Linked DNA regions of Canis lupus familiaris. The protein of the gene in region 3 purifies or fractionates together with the protein of the main gene of each other region. This does not show direct contact. Links are inferred from orthologs where the notes say so. Each region holds a gene or a part of one and is shown on either strand. Other genes may lie near its edges.

Region 1 (3,653 bases), on a different chromosome or scaffold from region 3:
AAATGTTGTACACCTGTGCTGTCTGCCATCCTAGCCTCCAGCCACGTGTGGTGATCAAGCACTTGAAATGTGGCCAGTGGCACTGAAATACTGAGTTCTCGATATTATTTCATCTTTACTAATTTATGTCCGAGTGTAAATGGCCACACGAGCTAATGGCTGCTGCTGGGTGGTGCCGGCCTAGAGATTTGATCCGGGTTAGACAGGGTTCAAACGCTGTTCCCCTGTCTCAGAGTCTCCCTGGAGCTCTCTTTTTTGGAAGGGTTTGGAGCTCGTTTACGGAGGTCACAAAGGCTCACACCTGGTGGTAGCTGTGGCCCTTTGGCAGGTGTGGCAAATTCTGGGAAGCGTGAGTCTTGGCGCCAGACCCGAGTCCACACCCGAGCTTGGCTAGGTTGGAGCTGGGGATTTCAGACTGCTTCCTTGCTCTCCAAGTTTTGGCTCCCGTCTCTAGAAACGGGGTGGGGAGGGTATTGACATTCTGAAGTGAGGGGATGTAGCTCATGGTGGTTGGCCGACACCTGGCATAGACAAGGTGGCTCTTTTCCTCACAAAAGCCTCCCCAGGCCACCACCCTAAAAAACCGGTCTGTCTTTATACTCACACCTCAGTGTTTTTACTTAACTTGATCAGGCTTTATTTTTTTGAGCACAAAACTCAGAATGGACTCCGATGACCTTTCTGTTTTATTCTCAAAAACTAAAAAGCGCCCTCAAAAGTGTAAGTCCCACCACTAGAAAGAGGCTCCCAGCTTTGGAGCTTTGTGGCTGTGGCAGCTAAAGGTATGGTCTCCTCCGGGACTGTGTTCATTTCTGTGTTCTGCCTGAATTATTTTTTAAAAACTGGGGGGGGGGGGGGGGGGAGTCTTCTGGTTTTTAGTTTCCCATTGATTGCTGTCCACACGATAGTGTTAATAGGGTCTGATGTGGGGAGGAGCGAAAGGAAGATGGATTTTTATTCCGGGAAACCACTAAACTGGCAATTCTGAACTGTACTGTGGAACTCGAGTCCACGAGGTCAGCCACATGGCCAGCCATGTGGCCAAACAAGTTAGGGGAACTATGTTCTCGATCCCCTTCTTGGGGACTTGCAACACCTCAAGGGTCTTGCAAGCTCTGAGAAGTCTCATCTCAAGAGCCCCTCTTTCTCTGAGTTTGACTTCCTTCTCCCAAACACACTTGGCCACTGCTTGACCTTCCTGGGCTGTGTGTTCCGGAGGATGCATTTGGGAACTCAGTGCTAGATGTTGATGTTGTCTGAGTATTGAGGAGGGAAGGTACAGGTGTCCCGCCTCCACAGGTGGCCTCCATGAACCAGCGCCGTGTGGATTTCTACCTGGCCTCCATTGAAGACATGCTGGTGGCCGTTGGTGGCCGGAATGAGAATGGAGCTCTTTCTTCGGTGGAGACTTACAGCCCCAAGACCGACTCCTGGTCCTATGTGGCCGGCTTGCCAAGGTGATTGGGGGTGGTTTGTCATGGACTCCTCAAATGTGATGACTTTGTTCACCTCATTTTCTAGATATTTTGGTCTCCAATTCCAGGGGGAAGAAAATCTCCTGGCTTGTAAATAACCATGGGTAGACCATGGGGGCAGAGGGCATGGTGATGACGAGTCAGGGCTCTGGTTTTAGACCATCCAGGCACAAGAGTCAGCTCTGCTGCTAAGGCAAATGTCCCCCAGTTTCTGAGCCTGTTTACTTCCAGAGTTTCAGGGAGAGAGTATTCAGCAGATAGTAAGGCTTTCCCTAGAAATGTCTCTGAGTGTGGGCCTGGGTTCAAGAGATGATGGATCTGTGAGCCGAGCCAGCATTTTCACTCTGCTCTCTTACTTCATCTGTATAGCAGACATGGTAACACTTGCCCTATAGGGCTGTCAGTGTGATATGTTCCTTAGGAGCACCCTCCCACCCACAGCACCCAACACCTGGGGAGTGCCCTGGTGCTCGGAGCTCCTCAGTCTCCCTGCATTGAGGTATGCACTTGGGACCACTGCTCATCATCCTGGATCTAGCAGAAGGTGCTTGCTGTTTATTTTGCTAGTCCCTCGATAGCTGAACCTGCAAGCACGCTTCGTGAACCAGTCTTATGGTGGAATGCAGGCAGCTGTCTTGCATGTGTCCCCAGGAGCTAGAAGGGCATGTGATGTAAGCATTAGATTGTGAATTCTGGTCCTGTTGCTACCCTCTTCGAGTAGAGGTTCCAGGAAGTGGATGGAGTAACATCTCTGACAATAGGCATAGTGGTTCCAAATGGCACGCACCATCCCTGGGCCAGGAGTGACGAGTCCCTTGAGGCTCACAGTGACCTGGTGGGGTGGAGGTAGGCTCCCATATAATTTGTCTCCCAAACCCGGATGGCAGTGAACAGGGAAGGTTGACAGTGTAAATACTGACCGTGTCATAGGCAGACCAAGACCTTTGATCTCCCTGGATTTAGTAGTGTTTTTTATCCTCCCATTTCGCAGATGGAGAAGGGAGCCTTAACGGTAGTGGTAAGAGTATCTGCTGCTCTTTCTCTGGGCCAGCTGGTGGGACTTCCATCCCTAAATACTCCTAACAACCCTGGTTTTATCTTTCTCAACGAGCCTGAGGTGTACAAGGTTGGAGTAAACATAGCCCGAAATGCTATGATCACCAGTGGGTGCATGAACCTGCAGCCTGACCTGAGAGCGGAGGCGCTACACGGTGCCTCCTGGCTCCCTGGGGCTGCCCTCCCAGACATTCCCCACCTGCAGCCACTGCCCACCTCCCCTGTGACCCGCTCTGCACTTAGGTTTTGTAATTTTCTTTTTTGTATTTATACAAACTGCACTTTTCAGAGAAAATTGAAAATCGAGCAGAAAGTATAAATTGTTCCTGTAGACCTTCTCAGAGCGTATTTCCCCCCATTGTTAACATCTCGAAGTAGCCACGCTATGTTTGTTACAACTGATGCACGCAAGTGGCCACGTTGCCCTAACGGAGGCCCAGGCTGAGGGCTCGCTGTCCGTGCTGTATGTTCTGTGGTTCGGGACAGATGTGTGGGGACGCTCATCCACCCTTCCTTACAGTGTCAGAGTAGTTCCACGGCCCTAAGAATCCCTTGTACTCCTCCTGTTCATCCCATCCTCACCACAGGCTCCGCCCACCCTGCACCCTTGAACATTTCACCATCCCTATAGTCTTTTCCAGAATGTGCACGGAGTTGGAATTGTACTTTGTTTCCTTCCCTTTGCTTTATAATTGGATCAGGTGCCTGTGTGTGCCTCAATCCCACAGTGTCCTTGTTTTCAGCTCTTATAGGAAGGATCAGCCCCACAGTCACTGCCACTCCCGAACTGGGGGAGAGTGGAGGTGGGGCTGGGCCCAGGCGGTGTGACTGCTGAGCTGCATACACGTTTACCGCACCCCCCACCCCAACCCCGACTCTGCCATTCTTACCAGCAACAGCTGCTGACCAGTGTGCATGTGGTCTCATCAGATCCCCCACAGCCCACAGCCTCCAAGATTGCAGGTTGTCTCCCTTTCACAGGGGAGAAGCACAAAGCCTCGGCGCCAGCCTGGCACGGCCTTGAGCTCCCTGTCTGTCTCTGTCTGTCCCGCCGTCTCCCCGCAGGTTCACCTACGGCCATGCAGGCACCATCTACAAAGACTTCGTGTACATCTCGGGAGG
Region 2 (3,653 bases), on a different chromosome or scaffold from region 3:
TAAAGCCCTAACCCCCAATATGATGGTATCTGGTGATGGGACCTTAGGAAGTAATTAGGTTTCGATGAGGTCATAAAGGTGGTCACTAATCCTCAAGGTAGAATTAGTGCCCCTAAAAGAAGAGACACCTGTGAGCCTGCTCTCTTCTCTCCCTCTCTCTCCATGCTCACACAAAGGCAAGAAGGTGGCCATTTGCCAGCCAAAAGGGATAGAGAGCTCTGACCAGAAACCGACCTTGCTGGTACCCTGATCTCAGACTTCCAGGCTTCAGAACCATGAGCGGATTTCCATTGTATAAGCCACCCAATCTATGGTAGTTTGTTATGGTAGCCCAAGCAGACTAAGACACTCCCCTACATTCCACCACCCTCAAACAAACAAAAAATTAAATCCAAAGTTTCCATCACTAAAATATCTCACTTATTTCCTTTTTTTTTTTTTTAAGTTTCCTTTAATATATTTACAGCTAGGGGCACCTGGGTGGCCCAGTGGTTGAGCATCTGCCTTCCAGCTCAGATGGTGATCCCAGGATTCTGGGATAGAGTCTTGCATCAGACCCCCTGCAGGGAGCCTGCTTCTCCCTGTGCCTTTGTCTCTGCCTCTCTCTGCTGTGTGTCTCTCATAAAAAAATAAATAAAATCTTATATATATATATATATATATATATATGCTAGCTGTAACTTATGTATATATACATATAGTTACAGCTAGCATAAAATATGAACAAGCCTATAAGTTGCCCCTTGCTCCTAGGCTCCATTCCCCACCACCAAATCTTTTCTCATTTTCTTCTTTAGTATCTGAGTTTTAGCTAGATATATGGCTATCCAGAGCAAAGACAGCATTCGCCAGCCTTCTGTGCAGCTGTTATCGTATAACTTGAGGTCTAGCTGGTGGGTAGACATGGAAGTGGCATGCCCAACTTCTACCTTGTGCTCACACACAAAGGTGTGTCCTTGTTTTAATTCTTTCCTGCTGGCCATTTTCTATAGGTGTGGAGCAGCACTGAAGCCACCATCCTGAACCCTCGAGTGGAAGCACACTGAGGATGGAAGCATATGGAATGACCTGTTATACCAGCCTTCACCACCCACGTTTAAGGAAGAGGGCTAAACTTCGACCAGATTTAAGCTGTTGTTATTCTATGTAAACCACTGTCGTTTTCAGCTACACCTCTGGTTGACTACCACAATCAATGACATTATTAAAATAGATTTTTTTCACTAAAAAAAAAAAAAAAAAAGATAGTACTTCTGCAAACTGCCTTACCAGGGAAGCTCAGTCAATCCTCCTTGCACAGCAATAGCAGACTTAACCCTGTTGGCAAACTGGACGGCATCTTCTCCTTCCTGGGGAAAAAGGAAATTACAAGTACTTCCTGAGAACAGAGCTTTCAAATAACTCTTAAAAGCTCTCAGAGTCAAAAAAAAAAAAAAAAAAAAAAAGCTCTCAGAGTCATTTAGATTTGCTTTAGAATGTAAGATTCGGGGCGCCTGGGTGACTCAGTCGGTTAAGCATCCAAATCTTGATTTCAGCTCAGGTCAAGATCTCAGGGCTTTGAGATTGAGCCATACGTGGGGCTCTGCACTGGGTGTGAAGCCTGCTTACGATTCTCTCTCCCTCTCCCTCTGCTCCCCACAACATGTGCATGCCTTCTTGCTCTTTCTGTCTCTCTCTTAAAAAAAGAAAATAAGATTCATATTTTAGCTCAGTTCTATTCTCAATCATAGCAAATATCATTTGTTCTATCAAGAAAATGAAGTGCTGTATTGTTTGATTTTGTATCTTGTGTATATATTTATGATCTTTATTAGTCTTATCCAACACATCACATTCCGTAATATCTGTAGATTCACTAAACCAACAGCAATATTAAAAACTATTATGGAAAAGAGTCCCTGAATATAAAATAGCCTGATTTTAAAAAGTTAAATACTATTTTTTAATGACTCATTTGCTAAGAAAGCAAGTCCAGCTCTAGCTAATGTGAAGAAGGAAGGCACCCAGGATTTCAGGTAAAAGTTTCCTTGCCTTGATCTGACTGGATAAAGCACCAAAGACTAGTTGTTATCTATGAATACCTCTCTGCTCATGGGGGGCATGTACCACACGTCACAGACGATTGCCCAGCTGGTCATCATTCGAAGCAGGTAGCTCACCATGTTGTATTTACTACTGTTCCAAAATGCATCCCCAAACTGAGGATTATACTGAGAAAAAGAAAAGAAAATACATCCCAGTTATGAACTAAGTGGTGGCTTCTTTTATCCATGTCAGTGTTTCCAAGGTGACAAGCTAAACATCTTTATCAGACCCCAAGAGAAAGAGAAACGACTTTGCTTGATAGAGATGAGTTAAAAATAAATAAATAAATAAAGTAAACCAGGCCCACTAACTTCTCTGACCTGAGTCCCAGAGTGCTATAGTTAGAGAGTTATCCACATGGGTCTTAAATATCTGTCTCCCTTGAAGGTGAGTGAAAGTAGTCACAGTAACTATTTTGCCTATTACTGTGTCCTTGGCACTTAATACAATGCCTGGCAGACAGTCCCCTGGTTCCTATCTGTAAACATATCCAGAGAGAGAGAATGATCAAGCAAATAGGGCAAAAATGTAAACAGTCGGTGAATCTGAGTAAAGAGTACACAAATGCCTTGAGGAAGATCCTATTACACAATAGGTCTCTTGAATATGTTGGTTGGCTAAATAACTTTAATATAATGACATCACAATTTTTCCACCAACTAACTGTGTGACTATAAGGCAAATTACATAACATCTCCAAGATTCAGTTTACAAACTGAGCAAGTTTAACTAAAGTTGTGGTTTCTAAACATTCTGGTTTAGCAACAAATTACAAATCATTTTCTTTAAGTCACATCTAATGCAGAATCCCAGTATGTAGAACAGATTTTAAAAAGGAAAAAAACATATGCCCTGATGCACTATTGGTACGGATATATATCAATACAGTTACTAGAGAAAATAGTATGAGAGAGTCTTCAAAAAAATAAAAAATGGAACTACCCTATGATCCAGTAATCCCGCTTTCAGGAATATACCCAATGGAAATGAAAACAAGATCTTAAATAGATAACTGTACCCTCAAGTTCATTGCAGCATATTATTCACAAGAGCCAAGATTTGGAAACAACCTAAGTGCCTCTCAACAGATGAACAGGCAAAAAGAGATGTGGTATATATTGAGAGTGGAATATTATTTAGCCGTGAGAAAGAAGGAATCCTAACACCTGTGACAACATAGATGGACCTTGAAAGCATTTTGCTAAGTAGCGTAAGTCAGACAGAGAAAGATAAGTACTAGATAGTACTACTTATACACAGAATCTAAAAAAAGCTGAACTGATAGAAACAGAGACTAGGATTATGGTTTCCAGGGGCTGAGGAGGAGAGAGGGCACAGTGGAGGAATTGGGGAGATGCTGGTCAAAGACTACAAACTTTCAGTTCTGAGATAAATAAGTTCTGGGGACCTAATGCACAGCATGGTGACTATAGATAGTAATACTGTATTATATACTTGAAAGCTGCTAAAAGAATAGATCTGAAATGTTCTCATCATAAAAATGAAATAGGAATTGTGTGATGTGATGGAGGTGTTTGCTAAAACTACAGTAGTAATCATTTTGCAAT
Region 3 (3,653 bases):
GCTACCGCTCATGTTATCTTATTCCTACTTAACACACTCCAGGGATTTTTTCATACAGTTGAAATAAAGTGTGAATTCCTCGTGAATTCCTCTCTCTCACCTGCAAAGCCTCACATTAGAGTGGCCTCCCTGCCCACCCCACCACCTGTCCCCCAGCTGAGCTAACCCCCAGGCCCTTGCCAGCTGCCTCAGACCCAGCTCTACAGCCTCAGAACAGAGCAGGGCTGCACTCTCAAGTCTGAGTATGAGGCGCTCATCCCCTGATCTGTATGACTCACTGTCCTGTTATTTATGTCTCACCCTCATCTTTGGTGAACTAAGGGTCAAGGGAATGAACAGCAAAAATGAAGGTCTTTTAGGGAATGACACAAAATTTCAAAAAATGTCTTGGGTGAAACAAGGAAAGATTATAAGTGACTTTAGATTTCACTACAAAACACGTCCTTACTTATGTTCTTTCTTTAAACACACTTTCAAAAGCACTACTTTCCACCAATCTTTATTTAACTACCTAGAATGACACGATACTTGTAGTTTGCCCACAGACATTTATAGCAGAGCTTGAGGCGGGCATCACACGCAGGAGTGGTGAGGAGCAGAGTCAGGAGGGACTCTAACATACTAACTTTTCCAGAAGATTGAATGCCTTTGATCATAGCCAAGCAAACCACAACCCAGGCAGCCAGCAAGCAGACGGTCATCTTCCAGTTTAAGCCCCCACTTTCAGAAATGGAACTGGAAATATTCAGGGTTTCTCTGTACCAGTAATAGGTGGTGGCAGAACTTTTTTCACATTCTGGCTCTACAACTATGGAAAGAAATTCAGAGTAGGAAGAGTAATTAGGTTATTGTTCTGCTCCCAGTAAACCTGTAAATCAGTTCTTAATATTTCATAGAAAAGTACACTATTCTACAGAAGCATTTAAGTTCACCATGAAAACTCAACTGTGCAAAATTGTGAAAAATCCACAGACATGTATTCTTGTTGATATTTTTTATTACACATCGCTGAAATAGGAATATGTAAGCTTTTTATCAAAGTAGTTAAAACACATCAGGTTTATAGCCCCTTCAATGCCCAGAATTATCTGACTGACTTCCTGGGACAGAGCTGTCAAATATGCTAGCTGCTGGTCAGATGTGACTTTTGAAATAAAGCTAGTCTAAAGTGGCATGTACTATAAATACAAAATACCAGAAGATTTTAGAGACGTAGTGCAATTAAACAATGTAAATTAGGGCATTAATAATTTTTCTATTAATTATTTGTTGAAATGTTAATATTTTGGAAAAAATAGTTCACCTATTTCTTACTTGTTTCAGTGTGGCTAGTAGTAAATTTTAGACTACATATATGTGTTGCATTTGATGTTTACTGGACATCACTACTAGAGGGACTTGTCCTTTGTTTACGTTCTAGAATTTAAACATAAATGATTGAAAAACTAAACAAAACTAAACAGAACTAAAGATATAAAAACAATTACTTCAATCCTAATTCTTTTTGCCCTAATTTTTATGTTACTTTTATTTTTTTTCTCCTTTTTTTTTTAACATATTTTTTTTAATTTTTATTTATTTGTGATAGTCACAGAGAGAGAGAGAGAGAGGCAGAGACATAGGCAGAGGGAGAAGCAGGCTCCATGCACGGGGAGCCCGATGTGGGATTCGATCCCGGGTCTCCAGGATCACGCCCTGGGCCAAAGGCAGGCGCCAAACCACTGCGCCACCCAGGGATCCCATATTTTTTTTCTCCTTTATGACTACCTGTAGGTCCTTTTAAAAAAAATTTGTGTGACTGAAGTATAGTTGACATACAATGTTATTCATTTTGATGTACAATATAATGATTCTACAATTCTGTACATGACACAATGCTCACCACAATAGGTGTAGTTAGTTACCATGTGTCACCATATAATTATTACAGTATTATTGACCATCTTCCTTATGCTGTACTTTTCATCTCCATAACTTACTCGTTTTATAGCCGGAAGTTGTATTTTATTTATTTTAATCAAAATATTAGGCATCAAGAAAGGTGTACAAAATAAAAAATTGTCAAAGTTAACAACTGAAGGGTTGTAATATTTTACCATAATGTCGTGGGGCATGATAAAATAACTTGGGAAGAGCTAGTAAAATTAGATGGTGCCAAAGGTCTTTGCTTTAAGTATGCCAATCCTAAAAGTGAAGAAAGCTTGCTAGGATAATTTTGCAAGATTTTTCTACATTATTTTCAGAAAAGAAAAAAAATCTCAAAATATCATGCCCTTAGCAACTTTATGATCTTTATATACAAAAAAAAAAAAAAAACAAAAAACACTGTATGATATGATATATGTCTTACAAGTGTGTGAAGCATTTTTCACCAAAGGACATTGATCCCAAGGTAGAGGCTGCTGAAAAGATTGAGAAAAATAGAACAAACTCCAGCCAATGATGACATTGTAGTAGAGACCCACAAAAAAGCACACCTGCAAAACAAAATAGTGCGATTACATTATGCTTCCTATGCCCCTTCCTTTGAAATGAGATGAAATGCATAAAGGCCCATTTAACATGTTAAAAAATCCTCCCCATTTCATTTTTATTTGAAACACATTATCTTTTCTAAGAAGATGTCTCTCTTAGGTCTTAGGAACATGCATTATCAAGATTGAACTATATTAATATTTACAGCTTCGATAGTGTATTAGTGCAAACTAATCGTGTTTTTTTTAACACAGTTAAGAGTTGAATAGAAATACACACTCAAGGGTTTCATTTAAATGCAAACTATACAATAACAAACCCTGTAAAAATTATATAACATATACCATACCAGGAAACTTACTACACAACTTGCAAATCCAATGCCACCCAGTTTAGGGCTTATGTAATTCCACACACCAATGCTTCCTCGCCGGATTCTTTGACCCACAGCAAGTTCCAGGAAAAAAAGGGGAATACCTATTACCAGAAGCAGTATTAAATATGGCAAAAGATATGCACCTACAAAGACAAGAACAAATGAAATAGATCATATTTTCAAAAGTCACAGTAGAGAATACACTAATTTTGAATATCTCATAAAAGACAGTATTTGAACTTCTATTATAGTATAATTATAAAGGACTTGAAAGAATATGCAATTTCATCATTTTAAACCTTCTAGTATTTGAAACCTGGATTTGACAGCTACAAAGAGTTTCTGATAAAAAAAAAATAATTATTGTAAAAGTAAGAATGTAAAGTTTTAGTTTCATTTTATTGGAAGGGTAGATCTTCATTTTCCATAAAAATAATTGATTTCTCAAAGTTAATTATTTTCTCAAGTAGGCTTCACAAACTCCTGGAATTCTTATTCATATGATGCTCATGAAGTAATTTATTAAATCTCATTCAAACTCAACTAAACATGCATTCCAAATCAGTTTAATTAGAATGAATGAAATTTTATAGTATTAAAGCTGACTTTTTTCCCCTAAATAACAACAGGGAAGAAGAAATAGCAGCTTAGACTGAAAAGGAAAAAAAAAATAGGAAAAGAAAAAGAACTTTTACATCAGACAAATATCATTTTTTCTCATAAATACTTCATTTAAAAAGTATATTTCAGGAATTTTTGTTTCCCTTTTTTTTTAAGAGAGAGAGAGAGAATGTGGGCACAT

The links.
Region 1: the proteins of SLC6A15 (region 3) and KLHL36 purify together in Homo sapiens (co-immunoprecipitation; 3 studies listed by BioGRID and IntAct, counting the BioPlex papers as one, with this or other methods). This does not show direct contact. The link is inferred for Canis lupus familiaris from reciprocal best matches to the Homo sapiens genes SLC6A15 and KLHL36.
Region 2: the proteins of SLC6A15 (region 3) and GPAT3 purify together in Homo sapiens (co-immunoprecipitation; 3 studies listed by BioGRID and IntAct, counting the BioPlex papers as one, with this or other methods). This does not show direct contact. The link is inferred for Canis lupus familiaris from reciprocal best matches to the Homo sapiens genes SLC6A15 and GPAT3.

What each region holds. Positions count from the first base shown.
Region 1 is NC_049226.1:68,331,411-68,335,063, reverse strand, and holds part of KLHL36 (kelch-like protein 36), read left to right. Parts: intron 1-1,299; coding exon 1,300-1,457; intron 1,458-3,596; coding exon 3,597-3,653.
Region 2 is NC_049253.1:32,589,473-32,593,125, forward strand, and holds part of GPAT3 (glycerol-3-phosphate acyltransferase 3), read right to left. Parts: intron 2,211-3,653; coding exon 2,082-2,210; intron 1,350-2,081; coding exon 1,270-1,349; intron 1-1,269. UniProt on the Homo sapiens protein: Converts glycerol-3-phosphate to 1-acyl-sn-glycerol-3-phosphate (lysophosphatidic acid or LPA) by incorporating an acyl moiety at the sn-1 position of the glycerol backbone.
Region 3 is NC_049236.1:26,752,224-26,755,876, forward strand, and holds part of SLC6A15 (sodium-dependent neutral amino acid transporter B(0)AT2), read right to left. Parts: intron 2,995-3,653; coding exon 2,837-2,994; intron 2,478-2,836; coding exon 2,351-2,477; intron 809-2,350; coding exon 627-808; intron 1-626.